2 linked regions of the Arabidopsis thaliana genome follow. The protein of the gene in region 1 interacts with the protein of each later gene in a pairwise test. Each region holds a gene or a part of one and is shown on either strand. Other genes may lie near its edges. The genes, in order: PTAC14 and ZIM.

Region 1 (15,964 bases):
ACAAGCAACCTGAGGAAAACTTCTTGCTTCTGTTGTTTGAACTTCTTTACTATTGTCATTGCCGCTGCTTCCATTGTCATTATTAGTAATTGTCTCCGAGTCGTTGCTTAGTTTCCGAATAATATCCATAACTCTCACACCTTCTCTATCTTTCTCTCCAGATTCTAAAGGTGGAGGTGCACATTCAATCTCTTCTTCTTCCTCCTCATTGTTACATTCTTCAATCGGTTGAATCATTTGAGATTCTTTCACGGATTCGAGAGACTCCGAATTCTCTAGAGCGTTTGATCCCATAGAACTTGTTCTGCTATCGATTAGGGATTGGTTCGAGCTTGGTGGTTGCTGCGTTGTCCTCGCCTCCCATATCTGAACGAGAGAAGAAGCTGCGTTTCTTGACGGGTTCTCGGGTTGACCTGAATTCGGATCCGAGTCGGATCCTAAAGAAGAAGACGATGATGGGACGTCTTGCCGAGATTCCTCTGTTTTCGAGAGCCGATGATCTGAAACAGAGGATTTGTTGGAAGAACATTCCGGAACAGCTTTGATGGAATCATCAACAACATCATCAACGGAGACGCTACAGTTTTCGAGATGATCTCTTACAAAAACATTGAGATTCTTCTCGAAGGCGGCGACGTGTATGTTTCGGACATTGTTGTTATTGTTGTTCTTCTTCTTGTTGTTGTTGGTGTTGTTGTCTCTTTGGGTGCATCTCTCGTGAGGACGACTCAAGACGCAATTAAAAGTTTGGCATGAAGACATTTCTACCTCAGAGGACGCCATTTCCATCAACAACCAAATCAAATAAAAGAAAAACACAAACCCTATTTAATCGGATCTTTCTTTTATGTCTTTTTTTTTTTTGATATTTTAATGCTCTGTTTTCTTATTTTTTGACCCCTTCTGGGGAAGAAGAACATGAGCATCGAAACAGATTAAACCCCATTTGATGACAGAGTTTTTTCAAACACAAACAATACAATGAAACTTTGGATAATAGATAAGAGGAATTCGAAGAGACAGAACAAAGGAAAACGAAGAGACAGAGCAATGGAGAAAAAAGTTTGAAGAAAAAATAAAAGTCTTGCTGTTTTTCTCTATTCAATTTTTTTTTAGATTTGATGTTATTAATATCATCCACCAATATTAATTTAGGTAAATAATATTACCTTTTGGAGAAAGAAATAATCCAAATATAGATTAGTCGATGATTCATGTAACACTTTAAAAACTTGAAAAAAGGTTCATAGGGGAGAAGAGAGACAGTGTCAAACAAAGAGGGAGAGCATAATTATGGCATTCTCTAAATTAAAGTTGACTTATTAAATTGATACATGAATACACTCTCTATTTTTTTTTCACATTTACTGATAAGTGATAACATTAGAAGCACTTTTACATTGTTCTTTTCTTTGACTCGAATGGATTTTTTTAAAATTAATTAAAACCATTGGATATGCTTCATTGGTTTGTATTCAATCCTTTGGGATTTTAGTGTTATGTCAAAGATTTTGAGTTATCTAACTTTTTACAACAAATTCATTAATTATATGTAACAGAATCTGTGCATATCCCATGATTATGAAATGAAATCTACATAAGATTAACCATGCATATAATGCTATTTCTAGAAAAATTACTATAAAAATACCAAATGAAGTTCCATTGATTCATTGTACTATATATGGTAACTTAAAGTAATAAATTTACAGTCTTTGACTCATGTAATTAGTTAAAATATAATATGGTAGCTATTTTTATAGCCTATCAGAATCAAAATAAATTTAGATTCTTTGACTAATCTGACGGGAAAGGTTAAAAAAAAACAGATAGAGAGTTTTGGCGTAAATTACACCGGAGTCAAACTTTGTTCCAATTTAAAACGAACTTAACTAATTTAATTCTATCCAAAAGATATGTGTATCTTGCTTAAGTATAGAAGATAATTCACCTAAATTTTAGCATTTGGTAGTTTTTAACTTTCTGTTAATGTTAAAAAAAAAAAAAAAAAAGTAGTGCTTCTTTTTTTACTGTCTAAACTTACTAACATTTTCCAAAACAACTAAACATAGCAGATAGCGTTCCATATCATTTATGTAACCCAAGGTCTAGGCCCAAGCCCAAGCCCATATGAGGGCGATACACTGAAATGGCAATGTATGTGGGGAAAACATTGTGAAGCTAAGTCCGAGTAGTCACTTAACCGGAGATCGGAGACTCATCGTTGCAACAACAACAAATTTCAGAAGATCCGAAGACGAAACGATGCCTATAAGTGCGACAATGGTCGGAGCTTTGCTGGGTCTCGGTACCCAGATGTACTCCAACGCCCTCCGCAAGCTCCCTTATATGCGTCGTAAGTCGTCCACCAATCGAAAAATGCTACAACAACCCTAATTTTTGTTTTCTGATTTCGATTGTTGAGAAAATGCGATTCCGATTCATTGTGTTCTGATTGGATATTAATATATGTTAGATCCGTGGGAGCATGTGGTGGGTATGGGACTTGGTGCTGTGTTTGCGAACCAGCTCGTGAAATGGGATGTGAAGCTTAAGGAAGATCTTGATGTGATGCTCGCTAAGGCTAGAGCTGCTAATGAGCGCCGTTACTTTGGTATATATTATCCTCTTCTTGTTTTTGGTTTATCAGCTTCTCAAATTTTGCTTTTTTTTAGAAAAATTGGTGACGTTTTTGGTGTATGAAATGGTTGCAATGGTAATTGAATTCTCCGCAATGAAACTTCGCTCAAGGTTTAATCATTTGGAAGTTTTTCAATTGAGCGAATCTCTATGCAGGCTTAGCTTGTTGCAAATCTGTTTAGTCAGGCACTCTTATAAAAGTTAAGACAGTTTGAGCAATACAATTATTCCTTTGAACATGATCTCAATGAGTCTGGAAAGATAGATACTTTCGACTAGTTCTTTGGTTCTAGAGTTAGATAGGTTGCAAGGTGCCAGTACATATAAACTAGATGCGAATTTGAAGGGAACCACATATGTAAACGTGTCTCGTTTTAGGTAGTAAGTTGCTAAGCTTTCGCAAACTCTTCTTTGATAAATCTTGTGACTTATGATAAGTTCAAGAATCTCTGTTTGTTTATCACCATTGGCTATTGCATATTTGCGAGGGACTGGCAGAATTTGGTGTATTACATTTCTTGTTTTGTTGGATTGAATAACTTGGAATATTCAAACTTTTCCTTCTGTTTTTGTAATGCAGATGAAGATCGGGATTAATTTTGCGTGATCTTTGAAGTCTTCAGAAAAGAAATATCTTCCCCTGAACTCATCTCAAGTGCTTGTTTTGTCTGATCTTTCCTGTATAAGCGTTTCTTCTCCTTCTCTTTGACTTCAGCTCTGGAGTTCTTTTCATTCACTGTTTTCGAATATGAACCTAAAGATTTGTGTTTTCACAATCTGAATCTGTTTGTATCTGGTTAATAATGGCGAAATGATAAACCTTGCAATCTACCTTCTGTTATGAGAATAGAGTTTCAGAATCAGAATCAGAATCATTCTGTTTAAAATTTGGTTTAAGTTGTATTACAAGTACATGCAAAAGACAATAAGTGTTTTTGTAGCAGATGGATCAAGTTCGAAACAATCTTTGTACTGAAAGAAACCATGTCATCTATACAAAGCAGAAACAGAATTTCAGAAGAAAAAATTTAAAGTTGGCAGTTTTCATGTCTCCAAAGACATTTGCAGGTGTCAGTTTTTTTACAGCTTCTTATAACCGGCCGTTCTGTTGTTGTAGACATGGAGAAGACTATCACAAGCTTGCCTAGAAGATGGTCTCTCTTGGGGAGAAGTTTTTGTGCACTGAAGTGCAATCTCAAGCACCTGACAAGCTGCGTCTTCCTCAAATGGCAGAAGTGGCTTAAGCTTTGGATCTATGAGTTTATCTCTCGCAGAACCCGCTACTTCAAGATGTGTTTCAACCCATCTCACCATGTCCATCTCTGCACCAAACACTGAGTCGGTTGGCATTTTCCCAGTCACAATCTCCATCAACACGATCCCCATACTGTAAACGTCGCTCTTCTCAGTCGCCTTCAACGAGTAAGCATACTCTAGACACACAATTTCAAATCTTTAGATATTAAAACAGTGAATATGCAAGAAAGCTAAGAAAGAGAAGATGAGTACCTGGAGCAATGTAGCCATAAGAGCATGCAAACCAGGTATTTGAATCTGTGTTGGTATCACAGTTCTCAGTTAAGACCTTGGCAAGACCGAAATCTCCTAAATGCGCTTCCATGTTTGAATCGAGGAGCACATTACTGGATTTGATATCACGGTGAACGATAGGAGGAACACAGTCATGATGAAGGTACTCTACTCCTTGAGCCAATCCTACTGCTATTCTCAATCTTGCTTCCCAGTCTAAAAGCTTCTTCTTTTTTTCGAGCACGGGTTTGTCCTCATGAAGCCAATCCCAGATGCTTCCGTTCTTCATGTACTCATATATCAACAGATTCAATCCTTCTGACTTGCTGCTGCAGTAACCCATTAGCTTAACCAGATGCCTATGCCTGATTCTTCCAAGCGTCTTAACTTCTCTGCTGAAGCTCTTGTTTGACATGAGATCATCCTTCCAGAGAATCTTTTTCACTGCAACAGTCTCACCATTTTCAAGCTCCGCCTTGTAAACCTTCCCAGAGCCTCCTGATCCAATCATGAACTCCTCGCTTAGATTATGTGTAGCTTCCATGATGTCCTCCCACCTGATATCGGACTTTGAAGCTCCGTTTCGAAAGAGAGGCTTGTGTGTAGCTTGTGAAGAAGAGCTTGACGATGTGTACGCAGTGCTTCCATGACCCACTTTCTTGAAGAAATCATGCCTTTGTTTGAAGAAGAGAGCGATTACAAGTATCATCAAGCCAATCGCCGTCAATGCTGAGATTGCTGATATTATCACAACTGATCTGGCACTAAGACCTTGTTGCTTGTTATTACTTCTAACTCTGTTGCAGCGACTTAGTGGGCTTCCACAAAGACCTGTGTTGCCTAAAAAGGAATCAGCTGGCCATCTTGAGAACTGTTTCTTGAGCTTCCCTCCGAGGTTATTGAAAGAAACATTGAGATATCCCAAACTCTTCATATCCCCAACCGAGCCAGGAACTTCCCCTGTAAGCTGATTGTGAGAAAGATCAAGTGTTTCCAGCTTTGATAATGTCCCAATTGTCGAAGGTATATCTCCAGTGAAGTTATTGTAGCTGAGGTCTAAAGCACTTTGAAGATCCTGAAGCTGTCCAATCTCAACTGGGATTTCTCCTGTTAAGCTGTTTCTTGATAACCGAAGCTCATACAGCTTGCTGAGCTTTCCCATAGCTTGAGGAAGTGAACCTGAAAACTGGTTCTTATCAAGGTTAAGGACATTGAGAGCTCCCAAGTTACCAATCTCTTGTGGAATCGACCCATTAAGCGAATTTCCATCAAGAGACAACACAAGCAGCTTTGTACAGTTGAACAGTTCAGTAGGTAAAGACTCAACAAACTGATTCGAAGAAAGCTTGAGCTCTCCTAACTGTGAAAGTTTTCCAAGCCATGGAGGTATAGGACCTGATAGAAAATTGTTATTGAGATCGATGTGTGTCAGTTTCTTGCACAAGACGAGCTGTAGCGGAATGGTTCCTGTGAGAGCGTTGCTTGACATATCTAACAAGGACAGCTCGCGGATTTTCCCCAACGTCCAAGGGATTTTTCCTGTCAATTGATTCTTGCCTAACCTGAGACGATCAAGATTTTGAGAGTTTCCTAGCTCCAGGGGGATTTCATCTTCAAACCCGTTGTTGGTGACATCGAATGAGAGATATGAGCTCGAACCACATAATGGATGAATCGTACCATTGAGCCTGTTGTGAGAGAGATTGATTCTGGTGAGGTTCCTCAGACTGATAAGTGAATCAGGAAGATTTCCTTGAAGAGAATTGTTGTAAAGCATCAACTGTTCCAAGCCCTTTAAGAACCCGAAGGATGAAGGAATTGATCCCGAGAGCTGATTATCCGCCAAATCCAAGATGTTCAGTTGATGACAGTTACCTAAACTGGCGGGAAGTCCACCCACAAGCTCGTTCTGTCTCAAGTGAAGCAAGTTAAGCTCTTTTAATCTTCCTATTGAAGGAGGTATCTCTCCTTCGAAATGATTCCCGAACATATCAATCATCTTCAAGCTTGTGCAGTTTCCAATCTCCTGTGGGATTTCCCCTGAGAAACGATTCTCATACAGAAACAGAACCTCTAATTTTCTGAGTGCGCTGATCTCCTTCGGTAACTTGCCTTCCAAGTTATTGTGATACAACACAAGCCACTGTAGATTAGTGAGGTTTGATATCGAAGGAGATAACGTACCCTCCAAGGTATTATTGTGGAGATAAAGATCTGTGAGTTCGACTAGCTCAAACAATGCTTCAGGGATCGAGCCAGCGAGAGAATTGTTCGACAAATCAAGCTGCTTAAGCGATTGACATTTGCTTAATTCCACAGGGATTTCACCAGAAAGCTGAGTTCCAGACAAAACCAGTTGCTCCAAGTTTGTGTTGTTAGAACAAATGCTCTTTGGTAATGAACCAGAGAGATGATTGTTTGCTAGAACCAAATCAAGAAGCTGACTCATGTTCCAGAATTCTTCAGGTATCTCTCCGGTAAGATTATTCGCCGATAAATCAAGAGTTTGAAGATTTCCCAGATCAGCCAAACTCTTGGGGATAAGACCTTGAAGTTGATTTGCCATCAAGCTAAGATACTGGAGTTGGCTCATTTCACCTAATTGACTCGGTATCTCTCCGGTGAGACTGTTGTTCGCCAGGTTGAGTATTTCGAGGTTTTCAAGGCGTCCAAGCTCCGCCGGTATCGTCCCGTTGAGCATGTTCTCCGCCGCAGTGAACACAGTGAGATCAGAGCAGTTTCCTAACTCAGCCGGAATCGGTCCTTCGAGATAGTTATCTTGCAATATCAACGACTGAACTCGGACGAGACGACCGAGCTGACTCGGTATAGGACCGGTGAGTCTACAAGAAGCCAGAGCAAGCATCTGGAGATTCACCAAGTTCCCTAACGTCTCCGGGATATCTCCAACAAGCTCATTGTCTCCGATCCTTAGCGACCGGATATTAACGAGGGAGCCGAGCTGGCTCGGAATCTCGCCGGTGAGTTGGTTAGAAAAGAGAAACAGAGACTCCAAGGAAGTAAGGTTGGAGAGAGCAGTTGGGATGGGACCAACTAGATTGTTGGAAGATAGATCAAGGTGGATTAGGTTGTCAAACCGGCCAAACCAAGGTGAAATTGAACCGGTTAATCCTAAACCGGTAAGGTTTAGAGCAATTACACGAAATAAACCGGTATTGTCGCATGTGACTCCGGTCCAAGAACAGTAGTTGATGTTATCAGAGTTCCATTGTCGGAGAGGATCGTCTTCTTGTGGATTCGTGACCAAAGATTTCTTCACCTCGAGAAGAGTCTGAAGATCGTTGTTGATGATACCCGGTTGACCTAAACCGGAAAAACAGAGGATGAAGAGGAGGAGAAGAACTAGTGGTTGCATGTTTTCTTCTTCGTCGTCTTATGGTTTGGTTTACTGAGGAAGAAGAATGGAGGTTTTATGGCATTTGTGTGATTCTTGTTGTAGAGAATGATGAAGAGGGAGAAAGATGATTGGTCATTAGAAACGGTGCATAGGGACTCTATCTCTGAGTTGGAGAAGAGTAAATGCAGAGAGAACAAAGTTTCTTTCTCTCTCTCTTTTTTGTGTTTCTTTTTTGCTATTTCACTGTTTTATTGAGAGATCTAGAGAGAGAGGAGAGAGGGGTCAAAGAGAGGTCAGAGGAGAGATGTGGGGAAATGGAATGGGAAGGCTCGTAGAATGAAAATGTTTCGGCTTTTAGCCTTTTATCAATCAATGGAGGGGCAAAGGTCAACGGTCGTACTATGATGTTCGTGTGTACATTTATTCGTCCGTGGAGACATGTTATATAATTAAAACAGTGCCTAAACTTTGACATAACATTTGGTCTTCTTAGGAAAGAAAAAAAAAAAAACATTTGGTCTTCTTTAGAAACCACAGAATATATAAATAAATAGTGGAGTAGTACACTTTACATTCACATCAAACTTGTAAAATTATAAGCTTATAATAAGTACATTCTATTTCGTTTGATCAATTAACAACTTATGACATTTAGATTCGTGGATGTTGTTCCACTATATTCTAATTAAATTCTGTATTGAAGTTCCGATCGATTCATATCTCTTGGACTCTAACGACTTGGAGTTAAGTTAGAAAAGATTTAGAGGATTCCACAAATGATAAATGATCCCAACAAGTTTTCTCATTTCATACTTCCATTATCTATTTATTATCTATCAAACACATGATTACTACTCTGAATGTATAGAGTGTCAACTCTACACGATTCCTTAATTTTTCTTTTTAGTGTCTTTGTGATACGCAATCATTTGATTTATCAATTTCGTGAGAAGTTAGAGTTCTTTGTTCTCCTATTTCTTTTCGACAAGTTTAGTTGTTTAATTTTATCAAAAAGAAAAGAAAAGTTTAGTTGTTTATTAGTAATAGACCTTTTATTAGTTATATAAAGGAAAAGTAACAATAATGAATAATAGAAAATAAAATGGTGATGCATGGCTTTGACCTTGGACAAGGAGAAAAGAGTGGTTGAGAAAATGACTTGGTTGAAGTATATATTTTTGGCTTTGGTTATGTCACAAAGTGTGTTAGCTTCTCATCACTTCAACCTTTTCACGACAAGGAGAGCAGTTGTGGTATGATCGTACATTAACATGGCATCATATGATTATGCCCTATATTTTATTACCAAGTCAAACATAATTCTTATTAAAATTTGCAAACATAATTTTTTCATCCATCTTTTTCTTTATTACCCAAATAAGTTCGGTGATACTTTCCCAATTTATATGTTCATCGAAGTAAAGAATCAACTCGTGAGTTTTGAATAATTTCGTGTGTTTTTTGCCTTCAAAAATTGAGGTTAATAATAGATATAATATGTTGTTGTCGATTCGGAATCTAGCTTGAATTTAATCACACCTATCTAATTATAGGAAAAAAGGAATAATACATCGAATAATATTGTCATTTTCATAAATTGTTATTATTATATAAATTTTGGTTGACTGTAATAACGCTAGATCGAATCAAGTTTACGTACAACAACTTGTTCGATAATTGATAATCTATAATTAAAAATGTTAATATTCTACTGAACGAGATTCTAAATCCAAAAGAATGAGACAAAGGAATTATCTTCGATCCACCAAAAAGATCAAGATGCTTATTTTTTTTTATTTTTTTTTGTCTATTGTTTGGTTGATTTATACTTTAATTAATCTTAAATTCAAAGGAATAATTTCATTATGCATGGCAAGAATTATGAAACGCATAGTGGTCTTACTTCAAAAATAAAATATTCAACATATTGAAGATAATTATTAAGAATCAAGTTAGTCAATGTAAAGTATCAAATAAGTAGCCAAAGGTAAGAAATAGATTGCTTATGGTTCTGTATAACTCAGAGTAGGTTTGTTTGGTTTGGACCGTAACTTTTTTTGAAAATAGTAATGTTAGACAAAGAGTAGAAGAAACGCAATATGATTTGATTGATTAGTGTAACCACAAGGTTAATAAATAGTATAAGTAATAATCAATTATTGAGACTAATCAACATTATAGTTCGGCGTAAGAGACACAATTACCCTAAAACATTTGAGACACTAATCATGCTTAGGGACTAAAAACATGAACATGAATTAATCAAAAGAGAAAAAAAAAACACAGATGATTCCAAAGCGTTTGTTGGCTAATCAAACTCATTAAAGCAGCCAAGAAAAGAAGAGGTTATGATTTGTTTGTGATTGCGATTAAAACAAACTAACACACTTAGTCTAACTGTTCCATACAAATACATAACCTTACACTAAACAAAAAAAAAAACAGGAACCTTTCAATTACATGGTGCAGTTTCTAAGTAGCTCAAGGGAGTGAGCACCAAGTATGAATCTCACTCAGCTCATAATTATTTTTTGCTTGAATCAATAGAGTAACCGTTCTTGATAGATGTCAAGTGCCTTGATAATTTTTCCGATGAACATCTTTCTGTGCATTCTATACTTAACCGCTGTTGCAAATGTTGTCCTTGCTTCTGACATTGAATCTGTCACAACAACAAGAGGGAAAGCTTAAGTTTTAGTATATGAGCGATAATAGATAATAACACATTGGTGTATATATCTTTAGTGTAATACCTAGCAACTTCTGGTCTTGCTCTGCTGTTGTGGGATATTCCGCAAGCATCTTTCGACATTCATCTTGCAATTCTTTAACTGCTTTTCTTTCCGCACTCGGTATTGGAGGAAGATCTATGTCTGACCAAGTAGGTAATGTTCTTGCTGCAGCGATAACTGCTCCATCAACAAAAGTATCGCCCCTCGATAACTCGCCTGCCACAGATTTAGGTAACATTGGTGCTCATTTCTCCATCTTTTGTCAAGGAATAGAGAGGAAACAGAAGAAAAGGAACTTACTGTCATGGTAATATTCTTCAGGAAGACCATAAATATTGAAGACCGATAAAAAGGAATTTAAATGGATGCGAGAATCTCCAGAGAACTTTATAGCATCCCACGGATTCTGCAGCAGACCAGAAAAACTGAATAAACGAGAAAACTTGCAAAGGAAACATAGTTTGTGTAAGATGAATGTGATTGTCGTAAAAAGCATTACCACAGGAGTTGAGAAGCCGTATCTTTCCATAAGCATGTTGTTTTTCTGGCCTGGCATGTAATTAATCGTCATCTGTGAAAAGCATTATAAGAAGATAGATAAAGCAGTGAAGTGAGGCTGACACTTAGGAACATTTGAGTCTCTTACCTCTTCGCCTTTCTTAATGTCTTGACCAGCATTTGACATAACCTCCAGCATGCGATCTTTAGGACGCCAATGTAGGAAACAGTTTGGTTCAAATGAGTGGTTTAGCATGTCTGCAGAGAATGATCAATCGTGAGATTCTTATTTAGTTCCTCAACAAAAAGTTCATTGATACTAAATCTTAATTTATCAATAACTACACAACATGCTCTTCCTTACCAGCATAAGGAATCATCATATTTAATTCCTGAACCAAAGCACCGACCCTAGTTTGCATACTGATGCATCGTGTCTGTGCCATACTAACCGCCCATATGAATCTTTCTGGATCCTCGGCAAGCCTTTTGATTTTGAGAGGAACACCTGAATGCTGAGACGGAATACAATTTGCCAATGAAAAACAAAGCAATAACCAAATGTCAAGATATACTGGAAACACATATATAAGGCCTCATTACCCAATTCTTTTCCCAAAAATCTAGGATTCGTTTCTGTTGTTGTCTGATAGTTGAAACAAGATCAGGATCTTGAAGCTCCGCAAGGTCTTCCTATAGAAAAACACACAGAATTAGATATCATCAAGCATTAGTTTAAAGACACAAGTAAATGTGACCAGTTTCAAATGGCAATCATATCAATTCAATCCACCTCTGTAGCTAAAAGCAAGCTGCTGCACTCATCAGCAGCCGGCAGGAAATCGCCATAGAGCCGCCAGAAGTGATCATCTCGATCAAAAGAGAATAACAGAAGACACGCTAATCTGATATCCCAATCAATCTGTAAGCACAAATGTGAAAGGACTTTGAGAAAGATAAGAACTTTCGAGTTGATGATATCGAAATAGCACAAATGTGTTACTACCTCAGGATCAGTCGAGTTAATGATATCGAAAATAGGATGACCAATTGGTACAATATCAGGGAAAAACATCCAAGGGTGCTTCTGTCTAATGGTTATCATCAGTTCAAGAGGAATCTCCATAATCACCTGCAGAGAGAAAAGAAAACAAAATAATCTAAAGAGAAGAACAAAACAAAAAGTTGTCAACTTTTTAACTAAGAAGACTGACTCTAGCTCGACGGCGAGGTTCGATATCCTTAGAAGCATAGACACCAAAACCATCTGGACCTTCTTTAAACTCAACTCCATAAGCTCTCACACTTCGAACATAGCCAATTTTGTAGAAATCCGGATCTGCTGTCTCCAGCTAGTGAAGAAACAAAAGACAAAAACCCTAAATCAATCTCACATATGAGGGAAATGCACAGAATTGTCTAAAGTTACTGCCGTTAGAACTCATTTGTACCCTACATCAATCTCACAGATGAGGGCAATGCACAAGATTGTCTAAAGTTTCTGCCTTAAGAAGTCCCCTATATCAATCTCACAGATGGAGGCAATGCACAGAATTGTCTAAAGTTACTGCCTTAAGAACTCATATGTACCCTAAATCAATATCACATATGGGGGCAATGAACAGAATTGTCTAAAGGTACTACCTTTAGAACTCATTTGTACTCTAAATCAATCTCCCAGATAGGGGCAATGCAAAGAATTGTCAAAGGTACTGCCTTTTAGAACTCTATAAACCCTAAAACACTCAAAACTGAAAATCCTAACCTCGGACGAGGAAGATTCTTCGGAAGCAGGAGATTGAAACAGAGGGAAAGGTTGTGTCTCAATAGACGCAACTTTGATGGGTCGTACACCATTTTGTCTGTCTCTTAATAAATTGCTTCTGGGTCTTGGTGCTGACACAATTCCGTTGCAGAAACCCTTTGTCCGACCGGAAAAAACATGAGGAGTACTCAGAAAATTCAGACAAAGACAGACACACACACACACACATGACATAGAAACATTAGGTGATACAGAGAGATAAGATTAAGAACCTGAGGTTTGGAGATAAAGGTGTTGGTCAGGAACTGAAGAGAGACTGAAGAAGCCATTCCTCAACAGAAGAAAATGGGTTTAGCAGAGGGAGACGAAGATCGTTATCCTTTGTTTTCAAGATTTTAACTCTTAGTTTACGATATAATTTATTTGGAATAATATGTTGCAAGAAGCTTTCATAGCTCAGTTGGTTAGAGCACCCGTTTAGTAAGCGGGAGGTCTTGAGTTCAACTCTCAATGAAAGCAATATTTGTTTTATTTTCTTCAAAAGTCTCTTTACATCCAAATTATTTATTTTTTTGCCATGAAAATATACACAACTCTATCTCACTCTTTTATTTTTACAGTATAATTCATATGTACATTAATTGATCTCAAACATTTCTTTGTGTATGACAGTTTTGGTTACTTTGGTCATATACTATTAGAGTGTAAAAGGCTCGGCTTCTGATGGAACTTCACGAGCTCTTTGGCTCTCAAGTGGCATATACTGTGACATGATCGTCATAATCTCTGAGTCCATGTAAGACTGTTAATAGGAACACCAAAGAAAAGTTAGTTTGGTAATCCTAAAACCGTTATTAAGTACAAAAATGCTTTTGTGGAATCAGAAAGAGTAGTAGTACCCTGAACCGGTATTTGTAGAATATATAACCAGCTAAACCGGCTACTGCAACGATAGCCAGTATCAAGAATGTGAGCCACCATGCCGTTTTGGATCCATATCTCTCTGTAACAAACAATCATCAATGTATATTAATTAGATACTGTTATGGAATTTGAGTACTCTTAAATCTTGATTGATAAAATTTTACCTATACAAGTATCTTGATCGTTTATGTAAAGCCGGTCACCAGAACAGCTGCATTTGTATCCACCCCATGAGTTCTTGCATCTGCAACCGCTACATTGACATACCGAACGCTCTTTACATTCGTTAATATCTGCAATAGAGCCAAATCAGAAAACATAATTACATTGTTGGTAATATGATTATGTGGTTTCTTTCGAGATTTTAATCGATAAGTTAAGAGTTATGTACCTTCACACGTCAAACCGTCGCCTTGGAAACCTTCAGGACATTTGCAGCCAGTAGATACAGAGTCCTAATTTTTCATAAATAACAAAGAGATGATTGAACTGAAAACAAGAACTTTGTAAGGGAGGGTTTGGCTTATGACAAGAGAATCACTAAACTGAGCAAGCAGAGAAAGTTAAGCCGTTCCTTGTGTCAGACCAGCAACCTCCATTGTTCATAGTACACCTCGCAGGCCCATAAGCTGCAAAGCTCAATCACAAACCAGAGACTATTCAAGAAACCGGTCTCAACATTTGAGAGCTATGTTGTGTGAAATGTGTGAACAACTTACGTGTACATGAAGTGTACCCGTCTCCTTTATATTGAACACCTTTTACAACCGGACACTCGCAGAGTCTTCCTCTGAATGTGTCCTGATCAAACAAAAAAGATTCAAGTATTATAGGACTAGAAAATATCTCTCTAGATTTTCACATTTTCTCTAGTTTTCAAAACAATTCCAAACAAATTGATACTGATATTCAATATAGTGGTGAGATGTGATGTGGTAAGCTCGGTTTTACGACATACTTGACAAGCAGTGATGTTTGCTTTTGTATCCTGCCAGCAACCACCATTGTTTTCAAGGCACTCATTTGTCTCTAGACCTGTGTTTAAGCAAATGGCAGGCTCCGATGTTTCATTAAAACCAGCGCATATCGCCTTTAAAACCGCGGTTCTCTCCAATCTCCCTTCACAATTGCAACCAATAACAACAGAAACTTCAGCATCTTCATAAAGAGAGAGTGAAACTGAAAAAATATCAAGTACCAAACCTCGATATTGAGCGTTATTGATGACTAATGTTGGCAATATCGTAACATCTCCCCGGTTTCCTCGGCCAATCTTGAAATAGTTACAGTTAGTAACCAAACCTCTGAAATGTTTCTTCAAAACTCTAAATAAAGATAGATTAAGAAACTAACCTGAGATACTTGCTCAGTTCTCAGAACTTGGTTCTCTGTATCAGCCTCAGGATCACCAATGCATTTCTTGATCTTCTCAATAGGTAAATCTGAAAAAAGTCTTAAAGATTCATAACCTAAACAAAGAAGACTCTCTTTCTTTAAAATCTAAAAAGGAAAAGAAAAAAGATTCTTACTCAGAGATTTGATGACACTCTCAGCACAATCTATGCTGTATTTCTTCTCCTTCATCGAACATCGAGAATGAAAATCGGTAACATAATCCCACCAAACCCAAGGCCTGCTACTCTCATTCGCAACTCTATGCACACAAAGCTGTCTCAGATTCTCAAGCACAACATCTTTCCCTTCATACCCTTCTCTGAAATTATCCTCAGGGTCAGGAGCACAATACCTCCCATGGTTTATACACTGAGACTTACAATGTGGACTGTTTATAAACTGAAAAGGGCAAAACCAAGTAATATAATGCGGCGTAAACGCGGTATAACCGCCTTTTTCGAGTATCTGAGCATGACCTTTAAAGTTCTTGACAAAGTCCATCTGTTCATCACACCGTGCACCACACTCATCATTGCTATTAGTCCACAGCTCATATTCTACTCTCTTATCAGGATGAGGCACAGACTCTCTCCAATCTAGTTTTATAACTATGTTTTTCCCTTTCTGAAACCCTTGTCTTAAGTCATCTCCAAATGATTTATCGATTAACACCGATGGGATTGTTAGCTTCTCTATGAAACCATCCGCATCTTTGCTCTCCTCTGGTGAATCCATTGTCAACAATGGCTCGTCTACATTATCCGCCACAAGAACTGCAGCCGCGCCTGCTTGCTGCGCGTGCCACGCTTTTAAGGCAAAGTAGCAACCTAAAAACATCCAATAATGGAGCAAAGATTACTTGAGAGATTAAACTTTTAATCTTTCTTTGTAAAAAAAATATATCTTTCTGCTCAAAATGTATTTTTGCAGCATAACCCATAAAGTCCTATTGGCTAATAACATAGCAGACTAAAGTTTAAATCTTTGAACTCAAACAAAACAACAGTAAATGGACAAAACAGAGGTTTTAACTTTTAAAGATGTTTTTAACTTTTTTACCTCCACGATCAAGAAGCAGAATAGTGGGACGAGGAAACTTGGGCTTGAAGGTTTTACCAAAAG
Region 2 (15,148 bases), 1.8 Mb from region 1:
GTTCAATAGTCAAGTAAGGTGAGATGGCGTCAACAGGTAACCTTCCTTTTTTATCTTTTCGAGTGTCAGCCTCTACTATCTCTGGTTCAACTGATAAGTTTGGCTGCTTCATAGCTGTTGGATCTTCTAATAGAACGGTTTCTTCTTTGCAGGTTTCTTGTGGGGCAATCTTTTCTTCACTAAGGTTTGGTATATCAAGTGGTAGAGCTCGAAGAACAGATTCTGTCAAAACCATTGATGATACTTTTGCACAGCAAGTTTGATCAATATGAGCACAACATACTGTCCCTGCGTTATCAGGCAACTCAAATTCTTTGTGTACTTGGCCTTGACTCCCTACAAGAATTCAGTTAGCTGATTGTATTACAAACTATGGACCGACAATTTCGTATAATTATGACATTACATATTCAGCTAAGTGCAGCCTACCTGAACGTTGAATGTTTTCAGAAAGAGTGCGTGAAGTCTTTGACTCTACAGTCTGACAAGGAGATGTACTATGCACGCAAGGCCTGGAAAAATCTGTAAGATGACTCATTTGAAGAGGTGAAGGAATCTGACACTGTGTTTCACCGTTGATAGAGGAATCCGGATCATGGACATTTCCTGGTTCCCCGATGAGGTCAACTACATATTCCCTGTTGAGAAATGATATCAAGTATTACTCAAAATGTGGAACATAAGCTCAAAACAACTCAATGGTACTCCAGAGCTAGCAACTATTTGTAAAGCACAGAATCAAGGACATACACAAGTAGACCCCCTGGAGAGTAGATACCCATCTGTTAGTAAAACATAAAGAATCAATAGGTGTTTTAAATAGAAGCAGGTATAGACTTCCTAAATACCATGCCCTGAAAGTCCACAAGTGGAGGCATCAAATAGTGATTTGCTAACAACCTGAGAGTCTACTTATGTAAACCCACTGAGGAATCTGGCTGTAGTTAAGTACATAGAGAGGGAGACAAAAAAACGGCCAATGGGAAGGCTTTAAAGGTTTAACACTATCAAACCTTGAAAGCTTCCTGTCATCGTCAATCTTGACAAGGCAAGAAGATTGGTGGCTCTCTTTACAGTATCTGCAACCTCGAGCTATCCGACATGGTAAACCTATGTAATCAGCCAATTTCTGCATAGTCATGGTAAGCAAGTCAATATCCAATATTTTGGACAAATGTTTCTTGTTTAAAACAGTCTAGCTTTCTCTTTTACTATGTAAGTTCATGGCTCACCTTAAATAGGATGGCACGATGCCGGCAAAGGCCCATTGTTAGACTACCTATAGGAAGAATGATACATTTCCGAAATTCCTTGAGTCTATTGCTGACCAGTTTCCATCGTTTCTGGAGATCACCTTGCTCCACCTGGAAATTCCCCCTAAAAGCTCCATAACCTCAGCATACACATCTTATATATATATGCACAACTATGAAGAATACTTGTGGAAACAAGAACAAGAAGTGTACGTACCCCATATAGACCGCAACAAGTCTGCCAAGTTTCTCGACGAGCACTAACATGTTGTCTGAAGAACAATACAGCTCATGTGCCTTATCCTCCAGTTCTTTAAGACGTGAGTCCTCACGTCTATCTATCAAAACCACTTCCATTGATGTATCATTCGGCTCAGTCTCCTTGAGTAACAAAAGAGATGGAATTCGTTTGCCATCCTCAGAATTGTTACACATCAACCAAAGATACGGATCCATTCCTAATATACTGTAAAATCCATCTGATATCTTGTCACTGTATGATAAACAACCACTTACCTGAAAGAAAAAAAAAAACAGAATAAAAATCACAATTCCGACCTAGATTTGAGACAAAAGTTAAAAGAGACATACGTACGACTACATACCCAAAAACGGTAGGAGATAGATTCTGTGCTCTGTATATGAACAGACTCACATGCTAGGTTTGCTTGAGAACTTAGCCACTTAGCAAGCGTGACCTGCAAGTAATAGCCTTCTCTTGACTTCTGCGCTAAGCTTTGCTCTTTGCCCTGTTCCCTAACCTCAACTTCTTCTTCCTCTTTGTTCACTGAGACAAGCGTGGTGGTCGAAGTTTCCCTTGCGTCTGTATGACTTGAGAAATTGGAGAAATTCCCGTCCACCGTCGTCCCGGAGAAGAAGCTTCCAGCGAAGCTGCTCTCACTCGACATTCGGGGAAGCGAAACCTCTCTGTCAAAGCTCCGATCAATGTTTCGTTCATGTATGTTAACCGTCCTAGCCGAATCAATGATAGAATCCGGCGAAGAAGTAGCAGGAAGCGGAGCGGGATCAGCCGGAGAAGACAACAGAAGCTCTCTCTCCTCATCGGCGTCGCTAGACATAGAGAAGCGCGTGGGCTTCACCCCGCGTCCATGAGTAGTAGTAGTAGATGATGACCTAGAGAGATTAGCCTTCTTCTCCGCCAACCACTCATAGAAAGCGGCTAGTTGCTGCTGATGCTTCTTCTCCGACTTGCGATCATCGCTAAAGAGATCTGAAACGGCTGAGCTTTTAGAAAGCAGAGGATTAGAGGAGAACACAGTACTCTCCTTCTCCTTGTTAGAATCTTCTCCGACTCCATTAGATTTATTATCTCTTTGAAATCCAAAACTCTCTCCAACGTTAGACGACGATTTCTTCTTGTCGTGATCATTCTTAAGCGAAAACGAATCGAATCCACGATCGGGAAACTGCCGCGGAAAGAAGTAAGTAGTCCGGTGAGGCATTTCGTTAAAATCTCACTCTGAAAGCAAAAATTTACAGATCGAACGAACAGAGAAATGAATCTTCTTCGTTTAACCAAATCCCGTCATTGAATCCAGATACAAACAAAAACAAACGATCAAGAGGAGACAAGAAAAAGAGAAAATAATCTCTAGTTGAATTCGTCGCCAGATACTGGAGAAGAAGAAGAGGAAGCTATCTAATACTTATCCGTTTAGAATTGAAGTAGTCAATCGTCAACGTTAACCACCGGAAAAAAAAAGAAGCTATCTAAACGTATCACCGGGAAAGAAAAACTAACGGTGGTTTGGTTTTGATAGAGAAAGGGTTTTTGTTGGTGGGATGAAGAAGCGTAGTCAAGGTGTTGGAGATTGCACGAGAAAAGGAAGGAAGAAGAAGAAGAAGAAAAGGAAAGACAACAGCAAATGGGGAATTAAATATTTTGAATTTTTATATTATTATTTATGGAAAAGTAATAAAATGGCCAATTAAAAACTCTGAGGAAGAAGAAGAGGGAAACTTTATGTGACGAGCTTACACGTATACTCTTCATGCAATAGGATAGTGACACGTGGATTATCATCCTAACTCATGCATTTCTTGGCTCTCTTTCTCGGTTTCTCTCGTGATCTCAGTTTTTATAGTTTTACTTTATAAGGAAGTGATGACTAAGGAGGATGCATTCTCCTAGATCTTAGGGGTGTCTAGGTGCTTGTTGGTTTTGTAATTATCTCTTAAATTATCGAAATTAGCAATTTTTATTACTATAGAGGATTGAAAATCTTATCACTGATCAAACTACACAAAAAATGTATCAAAGTCATATGTAGGTGGATATAAATTGAATTGGTTTGATGGTTATCTTTTTCTTAGTTTTAGTATATATGATATATGATTTGACAAAATATATAGTCAGCTGATTGTATTTGGACAAATTACTCTTTTTTTTTTGTTTTTTCATCATGAAATTTAACATTTTGACTGTCGTCTAATCATCACTTATGATATTTCTTAACGTTTTAGTTTTGATACTAATCTTTTTATTTATTTATAAATTATAATGTAGTTTAGTTAATCTTTGTGTAATTTTGGGATTTAGAAGTTTTCAAATTTTGCATATATAGTTATGAATCATGATATTTCATATGTAATGCTGTTTTATCTTATAAATATCAAATTGTTTATACTTCAAATAAGCGCTTTTAAGCACCAAACGTTTGATTGCTGCTACCCATTTAACGCTTCTCATGTTTATAAATTAAAAATAGTTAGGAAATTCAGCATCATTTATATGTCTCCTGGATACAGACGCACGAAAAGAAGAAGATAACACAGTTACTGGCATATCTACTGATTTTGTGGAAACGGAACGTGACAAGAAACAAGTGCATACATATCTTCTCTCCCTTTTCTCGCATCGCATATAGGGGAGTGCTTTTAAATTTTCCTTCATTTTATACAAAGTTCACATCACTTTTAACATAAAGAAAAATTCAATGTTGGAAAATAAAAGTTTCAATTATTTCCCAACACGACAAATGTTTTAACATAAAACCACGAGAAATGGATATTTGTTCAGATGTTTTCTGGTTGCAAATAATCTTTTTTTCTACGTTTTCATTAAAGATTATATACAGGGATGATATCACAAGAGTGTTTAACTGTTTTGAGACTTTTAACTTTAGGTTTGGTGAAGCCTTCAGATTTAACTCGTGACTCATAAACTAATTTCAATATATCGGAAAACATTATATAATCATTAATCTATTTGTTTAATAGTACATAATAAGATGATATGGTACATGCATGGACCTCTTTATAGTACAGAAACAGACCACCCATTAATTTATTCGTCTCAGATACTTTTCATTTGTTTGAACAACTATAATCTATAATAAAGAAAGAAAGAGCAACGAGTCGTCACGAGGATCGGGTCACTTAAAGCGACTCCTTCTCGAATAATCTCATCATAAATTCCTTCATAAACAAACACTATTGACATCAGAAAAAAAAACATTATCTTAGTTGATTACCATCAAACTGGTTCGACGGTTCTCTTTTCTTCGATACATTTTTGTGTGATTTATATAATGTATTCTATTTGTTATGTACACAATAATGTGATTTGTAGATAATCTAATCTATTTAGTGGTCCTGAGCCCGATTTAGTAATCCACATGGTTTTGGTATATGATGCGTATGCATACATCCTCTAATAAACTAATCTTGTAAACTAGGATTGAGATCTAAGATGCATTGTCCCATTCCAATGAAACTTTTAAAATCTTTTCGGATATTTTGATACGTAGTGTTGTTAGTTGGTCAATACAACCAAAAAGAAGAAGAAATCACCTTTCAAGTTTTGAGTAGATTAGTATTTGATTTATGTATGAGACATTGATAAGTCTTTTTAATCTGATCATATCTTTTGAGGATGTAACGTAATAAGTAAACTTTTTTCCCCTCAGAATCGACTTTAACGTTTTTAACCACACCATGTCAATGGGTATGGTTGCAAGCATAGTAACAAACTCTGAAACCAAAGACATCTGATATGGTATTTGATTTGAGGTTCGGTTACGGTTTCTATAATACATGTGATGGTGAAAAGATAAATTCATAGAGAAGACCATCTGATTCTACAAAGATTTCTATCTTCTGATTCTTATCACAGTATTTAGTGATCACCTAACAGATTAGAATTATCCCCATTGGCAAGAGAAACCATGGAAGTGTGTTCTTCAACACTTGCAGCTTCAGTGTTTAAGTTGTTAGCAGCATCAGCAACACTCCCACCATCATCCTACAAATAAGCGATGATGATTCAAGCTCCGCCTTATGTGGATAAACCAACCAGAAACACAGGGTGATATTTATAAGAGCTTACCGGTTTCATTAAAGCCAACTGATTCTCTTCTGTTTTCTTTGAGAGATCCCTCAATGTACCCTACAAGAATTGAACAATTCTAAATGTCAAACTTCTTGGCTATATCAGTATCTTATGAACTGAACATAGTGAACATATTATATATGTCTTTATCATCACTTTGTCTTTCATACGTACCCTGTTAGCCCAAAAAAGTCCACAGGCATTGCAGAGAGTCCTGGGGCCGGAAGGGCCACGTCGCATCATTGGTGTACATTTGGAACTAATGCCGCAATGAGTACACCTACATAAGACACACTCACGTTTAAAATAAGTGCAAACAAAATGTCCCACATTAGTGGAAAACAAAAATTGCAGGAACAGTTAATTGGCAGAGAAGAGAAAGAACTCACGATATTTCTGGATGGGCATCATCTTGGGCAGAATCTTGATCTGTGCCAGAGTTATAAGCCCCATCTGTCATCTTTGAAGAGGTGAATTGACCTTTATTACGTGCCATTCTGATAAACACTAACAAAGGTCAGAGAGGCAGAGAAGGTGACAAATCCTATCCCTTATTATTGAAATAGACATGTCGATTATTTCCAGTAAAAGCTACTTATCACACTAACAAAGACTCAGATGTCTATCCTGCTCAACTACAACCATATTGTCAAATACTACAGCAAGCCATGGACAATGAAGCCTACTACTCTACATAAACACCTACATGGTCACCAAACTTCTTGAAACAAATAAAAGAAAACTAGCTAGATAGTAAACTAGTTGAATATGAACAGATTTCCTTTCAATCCATAGCACACGAAAGTGAGGAAGTAGTTAAGCAACCAGAGCATAGCCAGAAGAGTAGAAAATTTTTAGTTTAGCTATACAAGAATACTAAATTTTTATCCCAGAAAAGGTGAAAGAATTTTGTTCAGAGTAACAGCTTTTGGCATAAATTGGTAAAACTCAAGACTGACACACTGACCTTAAGGCAACTTCTTGGCGAACACCGTATCTTACTTTCTTCTCGAAACATCTAGCATTCCTCTTCTTCCGAAACCTATCCAAGGATTGTGCCCGTTGCGGAAGGCTACAGCGGCTCTGATATTCTACAACAGGCTAAAAATAACACCAAACTGAAAAAGGTGGAATCGAGATGAAGTGACAATTTAAGCAGAATTTGAACACAAATAACAAAGTTACCATATGATTCTGCTGTTGAGCTAGTTCCATCACCTGCGGACCAGGAGCAAGCTCAGTAGAACCACCCAACAGCGACAACACAGCATCCACCTACGAAATCAATTTCCAAAGTTTGGTTAAGACTAGCAAAAGCACAAAGGTGCAAAAGAGGCAATCGTTACGTGCCCTAAGCCATCAGATGTTATGTTTCAGATGCATCCATCGAGACTTCACACAAATAACAAAAGAGGGACAGAGTAGAATTACCTTGTCAGCACCAACGGCATCAAAAACGTAAACTTGTCCACGGAACGAGATCGTAAGCTGATTCGCCCCTTCCGGTGGCCGAGAAACAAGTAATTCAGAGCCATCGGATCGGTGAGCAACCAATTGAGAGCCATCGGGAATCAAATCGGAGGCAGCACCATAGATAGAGTCAGGATGAGGGATTTCTTCCATATCGTCGTAAGGAATGTGACCAGACGTAGCGGAGGCAGAGACATGGTCTTCACCAGCGGAAGCAGAGGCGGTACCAATCTGGTTATTTGGGATAATCGAATGGCGACCAAACATCGGAAACTGCCAAAAGGGAGAGCTTTTTTTTCACATTGATTGAAGGATATAGAGAAAGAACAAAATAAACCCTAACCCTAAGAGCAAAGGAAGAAGGAAATAGTTGACATCGAGAAGAGCGATTACAGAGAGAGATGGTGATCGGCGCGTGTGGAGGAGGCGAGATTAGGACCGTCGTCGAATTCACCCGACGGTAAAAAAAAAAGGTGACTTTAGGTAAAATCGCAGCACTGCTTCCGAGACGACCCGACGACTCTACTTTACTGGATTTTTAACCAATCACAAATTTCTCTTCTTGTTATTCTTTTTTTTTTTTTTTTTTCTTTAAGCTAGTTTTTCACGTAAAAAAAATATCTGAGAATATTCTATGTATCTTTGATGGTCAAAGGAAAAAAAATTGGGAAATTACACGAATTTGGTTTATCAACAAAAAAAAAAGTAATGCACAAAAAGGATGAATGGTGAGTGAGTGTGTTAGGAGGTCTTGGTGTGTTGTTTAGTTGGAGTAGTGGGAATGTTGTAGAGAAGAAGACCTAGGACAAGAACTATACACCCCATCGTAAAATTTGAGCTCAAGCTTGATCCTCCCGGTAGATACGGCAATGGTTTTGACATTATGTACACCGCTAATGGCACTACAACAACACCAAAAGTATTATCTCATATGGGTTTGAGTATTTGGTGACACTTAAGAGGCGTTGCATGGAAGGATAGAAATATGGACCTGAGAGCATCATGGTAAGAGAGGAAACGATTGCTGAAGATATTTTCACCAGATGGAGCAATGAGATGTTGAAAGCGAGATTGGTGGATATATAGAGCAGTGGGAGTATAGGGGCACCATCACAGCCTGAAATTCTCAAATGGATAATCACAAAGTTTTAGCAGTGAATAAAATTCAATGAAGGAAAAAAAAACAAGTGTCGAATGGTCTCTAACCAGAAATCTTAGCTCCAGTGTTGAAGAAGCATCCGGCACCATCTTTTAGATATGAAGGAAGGCTGGCGAATGGAATGCCTTTCAAGTTTGAGAGAAAAGGCAACAACAGGAACACAAAAAGAGCCTGCACAAGCACAGCTTCAGTGATCCGTAACACTAAACCAAAAAACAAAAACTCTTCTCAAGTAGGAGAGAGATAATAAGTGAATAACAGAGGAAAGCAGCTTTCAAATGTTTTCTTCACGTACTCTTGATGTAATGGAGAAGCATGTCTAATTGTTTTGGCTGTAACAAATACATTTACAACATGATATTGTAGTAGTAGATACCTGAAATCCAGATCCAAATGAATTTACCACAAATATATCCAGTGACTTTCCCTGCATCCACCAGTTAATCTTAGAGTTAATTCAGCAAAGTTTCGAAAGAAAAGCATTCCTGTTTGATGCAGGGGATAAGGGAGATACCTCAAGACGCTTTGCAGCATCATTGAAAACAAATTCCTGTTAACAGACAAAACACTTAACAACTTGGGTCTTGGCAAAAGAAAATAAAATAGAAATGTTCACAACTCATAAGAGAGAGCGACCTTCACCTTTATGATAGATGCACCAGCTTGAAAAGCAGCGGATGCTACCAATACAGCAGGCCATAAGAAACCGATTCCAGATAGCGTAGTATCTGCACCAGATCCACTGCAGATGAGTTACAGTCAGCATTCACAAAAATGAAAGTATCACTATCACACAAGCTTCTCTAGAATCAGGGCCTTCTATTTGCTATGTGGATGATAAATACTAAAGTAGAGCCGTCTCCATTCATTTAGCATGGTGAATTTGATAGGTGTGACTCTGGTCCATGAAAACTAGTTTTCTAGATTGTAAGAGCTGAAAGCACTCTCTTGATATAATCTGTAAATGACCACGGATACACAAACATTTCTCTACCCCAAGATCAAGCATCCAGATCCAAGAAGATAAAAGTAACTTTAGAAGAAGAGAAGAGGGAGGAAGGAATACCTTGAAACAGCCACCACAACCCCCACAGCCACAAGGAGACAACCAGCAATTTGGTTAAGCAAAAACCTCCTGCCTAAAATAAGAAGAGCAAAAAGCAGCTGCCACACCAAATATGTCTGCCAAACATTGGGAGGCATGAGTTCAACACCCCCATGAGAACAAATGAGCAAGAAGATAATCATAAAACCAAAAGACCTGATTCAAAATGGGTATAACTGGTCCAGGAAGCATTGCTGCAACAGAGAGTGGAATCACTCCATATGTAACCTTATAAATATGTAAAGTTTCAATCATGCTATAAATGGGATACCTGCTGCAGCCATGCCAGTGGCAACACCAAGAGCTTCGAGAAAACCAATGATTGCGAATCTCCATTTGGGTACATCCATCATTTCATTCGTCACAATGCCTAGACGGCGCCTCGTATACAGAATGGTGAAATAAATCAAGACGTAGCTGCCAAAAACCATTCATTTATCATAATCTAAGCTAGGCTCCTTCACTGCCCAATTTCTTTCATAGCCACTCTTGTTTAAGTTACCCGAAAGTGGTGAGCTGAGCCATGAAAAAAGGGTACTGTTTCATGGGAACCAAAGCGAGTTTGTAGAGCACGCGATTAGCTACAGCTAAAGCTACGATTACGACGGAGTTAGCCACGATAAGGTTCCGATTAGAAGGAATTGAAGACTCCTCCGTAGAAGCACCGACGGAAAAGCGAGGTCGTCTCATCGGAGAAGTGGTTTTCGGAGTACTAAGAAAGCGAGATCTCAAATCGGACCGTCTGAGAAAACACATGCTCATCATAGTCGTCGAACGGTAGGAAAACAGTTGGGAGCTCCGGCAGCTGACCTGATAAATCGCCGGCGAACGGAACACCGTAGGAATTGAAGCATGAAGACATCTGATTGGTGGTGTTGTAGCCATGAGAACGGTATCCATAGCGGGAGACTTTCTCGGCGACTGTTTTTATATCCTTCTTCGCTTATGCGACCCTTCATACGATGTCGTTTAAACGAGTTTTGGATTTTTATCACACAATCATTTATTATGAAACTTTGAATCATGTTTGTTTGTATCAGGAGTGTGCCATGATGTAGAAATATTACATGTGTAATAGCAAACATATAAAAGATTAGCTTGTAATTATAAGATTTGATTGAAAACTTAGGGAATGGTACAAGTAGAAAAAGAGAGCTTAAACTTGGGGTCTAGCTTGGACGATGTAGATATGTCCACCTTTGACAACACCTTCAATGTCTTGAGGACAACCATAGATTGACTCTATCACATTTCCAGCTTCTGCAATCGCTGAGAATAGACGCACTCGAAAGGATTTGTCCATTATTAGTGGCTCCCTTGAGTAATCCACCACTACTTCCTCTGCTTCATCCATTATCACACTGCAGCACTTAACCCTTTCAGCTTCTGAGTTCCGAAATAAAAGACGGAAACAGAGAGAAACACACAAAACAAACCTGTCGTAAAGTCCAGCGCCTGCGTTGCCTTCGAGATCCTCGTTGTTTGAATCTGATCTGAATATGATTGAGGGTTTAGAATACAGACCTATCCTCTTACTTGGGTAACTGATCACCTGTACAACCCAAATTCCCCACTCACTCGGTTAATATATAACTCAACTTAAGAGCCAACTAGGATCTGTTTGTTTCTTACGGTTGGAGACTTGAGGTTTGTTTTCTTGGTGATGAAGCTCATTGCTCGTCCTGGATATGCTCCAACCAAGGTCTCTCCCAAACCCTTCACAATCTGAGAACGCCAGTTTCTTGATAACTGAGTTATTGATATTATTTACTCAAAAGTGTGGAAACTGGAGATAGTTCTTTAACCTCTGTGTATATTTCTGAAGAGTCACCAGAGACCGGATTGTTTGTGTGAATGACGAAAGCATAATCGCCACAAATGACTTCTTGAATCAGCACAGCCATGCAGACCGCATCATGATCAAGCTTATTTTTTTTGCAACTGACATAAGCTCTCTCGTTCCACTTTGAAGCCCAGACCTATGCAGATGTGGAGATCAGGGAAACACTTGGTTCCTTTAACTATAAGTACACAAACGTTCAAAGAGATTCTTACCTTCTTAATTGCCACCCAGGAGCGGTTCCAGCCTGATTCATCACCAAGATAAGGCATTCTTTCACTTCTCAATTTTGTGATCAGTTCATTTCTCTACCAAAGAGTTCAAAACCCAACATGAGATTCACATGGAACATGAACAGAGAGAAAGAAAGACAATTATATGCCCAGTTATTACCAGAGCCATTGGAGCACTCATTTGTAAGATAGCTTCTTGAATGGACTTAAGTTTTGTCAGGTCTCCTCTGTTAAGAGAATCTTTAAGGACAGAAATCCTGCGTGCTACATCCTGAAAAGCGATGGATCACCAAATCTATTTAAGAGACTTCTGGATCGCAAGCTCAGTGAGGAGCCGTCCCTTGGATTACTTTTAGAGAGTTCCAGAAAGAAGCAAATGATTAAAGGTTATACCTTATTGGAATCATCTGAGAGTATATTCTCAAATGTTCCGAATGGAAGAGCAGCTGAGGTAGGTATCTTGATCCATGATGGAACTCTTTCACGTAGAAATTTTATATTGTATGATTTTGAGCCAACCTAAAATATCTCATAGAAATGAAAATCCAAATGGTATTCTCAAAATGAAAACTTTTATCTTCATGTATTTGATTCTTATTTACCCTTTCATCAGTGAATTCCTTAGATGAAATCACATAGTGGCCACAAAACTTCTTCCCCTTAGAGATCACTCCCCGTGGAACAGAGGAAATAAAAATATGACGAACAGAGACATCAGAGTTGTTGCCATCACTGCAAGTGATATAATTTCAGAGTTATTAGAAACTCCTTCTCTAAGCGTAAAGAACAGTGACATAATAAGAGTTCGATTACCTGATAACTAAACCAGTAGACTTTGTATGAATAGATATTGCTCTCCCTTCCTTCGACTTCAGATTGCTGAGAACATTCTGATCGAAGCATGTAGCAAAGCATATCTGCATCAGACGAACTTAAGATGAGTTCCCTGAAAAAATTGTGAAGATCCTAGTTCTTCTTTTTGCAGCATTGTCTGATGATAACATGCCTTGCTGTTTCTTGCTCTAATAGATACATGAGACAAGACATCAATCATACTAGGAGTCAGCACGGCTACAACACCAGCAGGGATCTCCTCTTCTCCTGTGACTTTACTTGCAATAATTACAGTTGGCTTCGAGTAGAATTTGTTCTGAACAACAATTAACTCATTCACACAAACCACAAACCCATATGCATCAGCCGAGCTGATAACCTGCCAACTTCTCAACCAGAACCATTTTGGTTTAGAGCAAAAATACGATAAAGGGTTCAGTAATCACCTTCTACAAGGAACAAATCTAAATATAGTTCTTTAGTTCAAATTCATGGTAAAACATATCTTACCAGCCTAAATTCGCGATTTTCCTTAGAGAAGGATCAAATCTGTTTACAAGAGTTGATAAAACGGCTCCTGGCCCTGCTCTTATAACCTCTTCAGTGAAAACATCAATCTGTAAAAAATAAGAAACCCAAATGAATAAATATATCTTTTAGACTTTCTTACATAAAGAAGAAGTTGGAGTTTAACTGCAATGTACCCCATGCTTGTCAACACGTAACAGTTGACCAAGATATTTTGCAGTAGGCTGTATTATTGTAAAATAATGCTGACATCTATCAGCAAGTACTAGTTGTAAACGGTCAAGGACCGCTTTTGTTTGCAATGCCCACTGAACATCATGAGGTCTGTAAGCCTCGCTGACACGGTACCAATCCTGGGCGCAAAAGAGAATAACAATTAATATTCATACAAGAACATTGAGAGTCAAACTTTGAAAGAGAAACGAAGGGAGAAGAAATAACATGCCTTTGTACAGAATATGATTTCTTCATTGTTAACTATAGATAAGCACAGATTCTCAAGCACCACGCAGATGACATATATAATTTCCTGTTCACGGAAAGCAGATCAATCCATACCTTACTCTTTGGTGTAAAGACTAATATTTGGCTACAAAGGAAAGTAAATAGTTAAAAACTACAGAGATAACAGTTACCGGTGGGTTATTGAAGTTTAAAGAGATGAGTCTCTTCTCTATTGTTGTTTTAAAACATGACTCCAACGCAATGTCCAAAAATAGTAAATCTTTTGCCCTCGTGCGAGGTGCTCGTAGTGCAGGGTGTAACTGAATGCGAGCATCAACTAACTTCTGCAGAAGTACATAAAAACAAAGCAAGCATAAGGATAAAATAAATCAACAATAAGAGGAAGAAGACTGGCAATATGAAGAAGATGTGCTATTAAAACCTCTATTAGGGGCTCAGTGTTCTCTTCGCGAACAAGCCTCTTAACTAAATTCAGTAGATCCTACCATACAATGGAATTTGCCACTCTGTTAGACATTTTGATGTCTTTATATATAATGTATAATAGTATGAAAATATGTTATTAGGAAGATGGTATGAGAAAATCGAACCTGCAATTTTGGTGATAAACCATTGACAGCAAAGACATGATGACCCTGGAAAAGAAAATGAAAGGATGAGGTATTACTCTTAACATAAATACCGTTCTTGATGATGATATGTGTCCCAAGAAAATCAAAGTGACGGTTTGAATCATGAACTAATTACCTTAGATGGAGAAAGGAACGTATCAATAGCAGACTCAAGGTCTGCACCTGAATGAACTGCCTACAGAGGCAGGTACAAACAGTTTGTTTAGAAATTCAAGATACTGAAAGTAGAAAATGGAGCAAAATATTGTTCTGTAATGTAGGTCGAAATTGCAAAGCAATTATTATCTAATAGAGGCCAGAGGTATAAATATTCTCATCATTACTAAGCTAACTAACCATTACAGTTTGCTCCTAAGAATTCTTCAATGGATCAGGAAACGAAACTAGGCTGCAAGTGGTATACCTTTAATGTTTTCAAGTACATTGTAAGGTCACGGATGAGTCCTTCTTTAGAATCACTTCTGAAACGAGGCTCTGATACTATGGGGCGGTCATAACTTGCAAGCCTTTCTTTTGTGAGACCATTGGTCTGTAGTGTTTGCCAGTATGCATCGATCCTGAAGTCAGATCTCACATAGTTCAAGAGAGCCTATGGCAGAAGAAATAAACTCATCAGATATTTACAACAGGAAACTAAACTTCTGAACTAGCTAGTTAGCTGCTTTTTAAGAAGTAGCGAGTTTTAGAATGGAGTTTCAACTTTATCTGAGATGTTATTCTTCCTCTTATTTACCAATCACTAAATGTGAGTATCTTACTTCAAATGGAAGCATCTTTACCTCACAAATTATCACATCATCTGCGCTACTGTTGTTGTGCAACTTTTGGTGCCACTCTTCCATCATGCCGGATTTGCAGTGGTTATTTCTCTAACAAAAGATAATAAAGACAAGAAAATGTTAAAACAAAAAAGAAAGAAAGTACAAAGACAAACTACTCTAACAAGACAAGGAAAAGTTTTAGTTGCAGAGATTTTGAACTATATACCTGAATAACAAGGATTTCGTCACGGATTCTCTGCCCAACATCACCTTGACCTCCACGACCCACAAGTGCCATAGTTAGTCTCACAATTTCTCTCTTATTTGGTTGCTGCAAATATATTTTCTCCATCAAATTGGTGAATCTTTCTAGTGCTTCACTAATTTCCCTGCAGAAAAGGTCTGATTAAAAGAAAGAACAAAAAGGATCAACTATCAAAAGTAGCCAATGGAACAATAGCTCTACCGAGGTTTCACGTTATAGTTCTTATTCCAGGTGAGATGTCTGGTGGCCATG

The links.
Region 2: the proteins of PTAC14 (region 1) and ZIM interact in binary tests that used the Arabidopsis thaliana proteins (3 or more experiments, as listed by UniProt).

What each region holds. Positions count from the first base shown.
Region 1 is NC_003075.7:10,875,802-10,891,765, reverse strand, and holds PTAC14 (plastid transcriptionally active 14), read right to left. Parts: upstream 12,950-15,964; 5' UTR 12,853-12,949; coding exon 12,796-12,852; intron 12,741-12,795; exon of another isoform or gene 12,680-12,740; coding exon 12,524-12,679; intron 12,111-12,523; coding exon 11,973-12,110; intron 11,926-11,972; exon of another isoform or gene 11,891-11,925; coding exon 11,765-11,890; intron 11,681-11,764; coding exon 11,552-11,680; intron 11,452-11,551; coding exon 11,362-11,451; intron 11,274-11,361; coding exon 11,123-11,273; intron 11,017-11,122; coding exon 10,907-11,016; intron 10,832-10,906; coding exon 10,760-10,831; intron 10,667-10,759; coding exon 10,561-10,666; intron 10,477-10,560; coding exon 10,282-10,476; intron 10,191-10,281; coding exon 10,069-10,190; 3' UTR 9,714-10,068; downstream 1-9,713. Other genes in the region: AT4G20160 (golgin family A protein), read right to left, coding at 1-789; AT4G20150 (excitatory amino acid transporter), read left to right, coding at 2,266-2,356, 2,477-2,614, 3,221-3,237; GSO1 (Leucine-rich repeat transmembrane protein kinase), read right to left, coding at 3,721-4,073, 4,150-7,546; VSR7 (VACUOLAR SORTING RECEPTOR 7), read right to left, coding at 13,221-13,325, 13,423-13,526, 13,612-13,740, 13,839-13,902, 13,994-14,076, 14,167-14,248, 14,406-14,566, 14,651-14,720 and 3 more. UniProt on the Arabidopsis thaliana protein: Essential for chloroplast development, especially for thylakoid formation. Involved in plastid gene expression, probably by maintaining plastid-encoded RNA polymerase (PEP) activity.
Region 2 is NC_003075.7:12,637,978-12,653,125, reverse strand, and holds ZIM (GATA-type zinc finger protein with TIFY domain-containing protein), read right to left. Parts: upstream 7,563-15,148; 5' UTR 7,342-7,562; coding exon 7,036-7,341; intron 6,880-7,035; coding exon 6,790-6,879; intron 6,706-6,789; coding exon 6,572-6,705; intron 6,102-6,571; coding exon 5,994-6,101; intron 5,885-5,993; coding exon 5,779-5,884; intron 5,662-5,778; coding exon 5,578-5,661; intron 5,518-5,577; coding exon 5,392-5,517; 3' UTR 5,262-5,391; downstream 1-5,261. Other genes in the region: AT4G24480 (Protein kinase superfamily protein), read right to left, coding at 1-336, 430-638, 1,014-1,129, 1,233-1,377, 1,471-1,769, 1,859-2,716; CLT2 (CRT (chloroquine-resistance transporter)-like transporter 2), read right to left, coding at 7,816-7,976, 8,066-8,191, 8,281-8,404, 8,610-8,660, 8,748-8,783, 8,876-8,975, 9,300-9,415, 9,495-9,532 and 2 more; PWD (phosphoglucan, water dikinase), read right to left, coding at 10,495-10,699, 10,775-10,890, 10,971-11,063, 11,144-11,317, 11,394-11,486, 11,572-11,682, 11,805-11,930, 12,014-12,143 and 13 more. UniProt on the Arabidopsis thaliana protein: Transcriptional activator that specifically binds 5'-GATA-3' or 5'-GAT-3' motifs within gene promoters.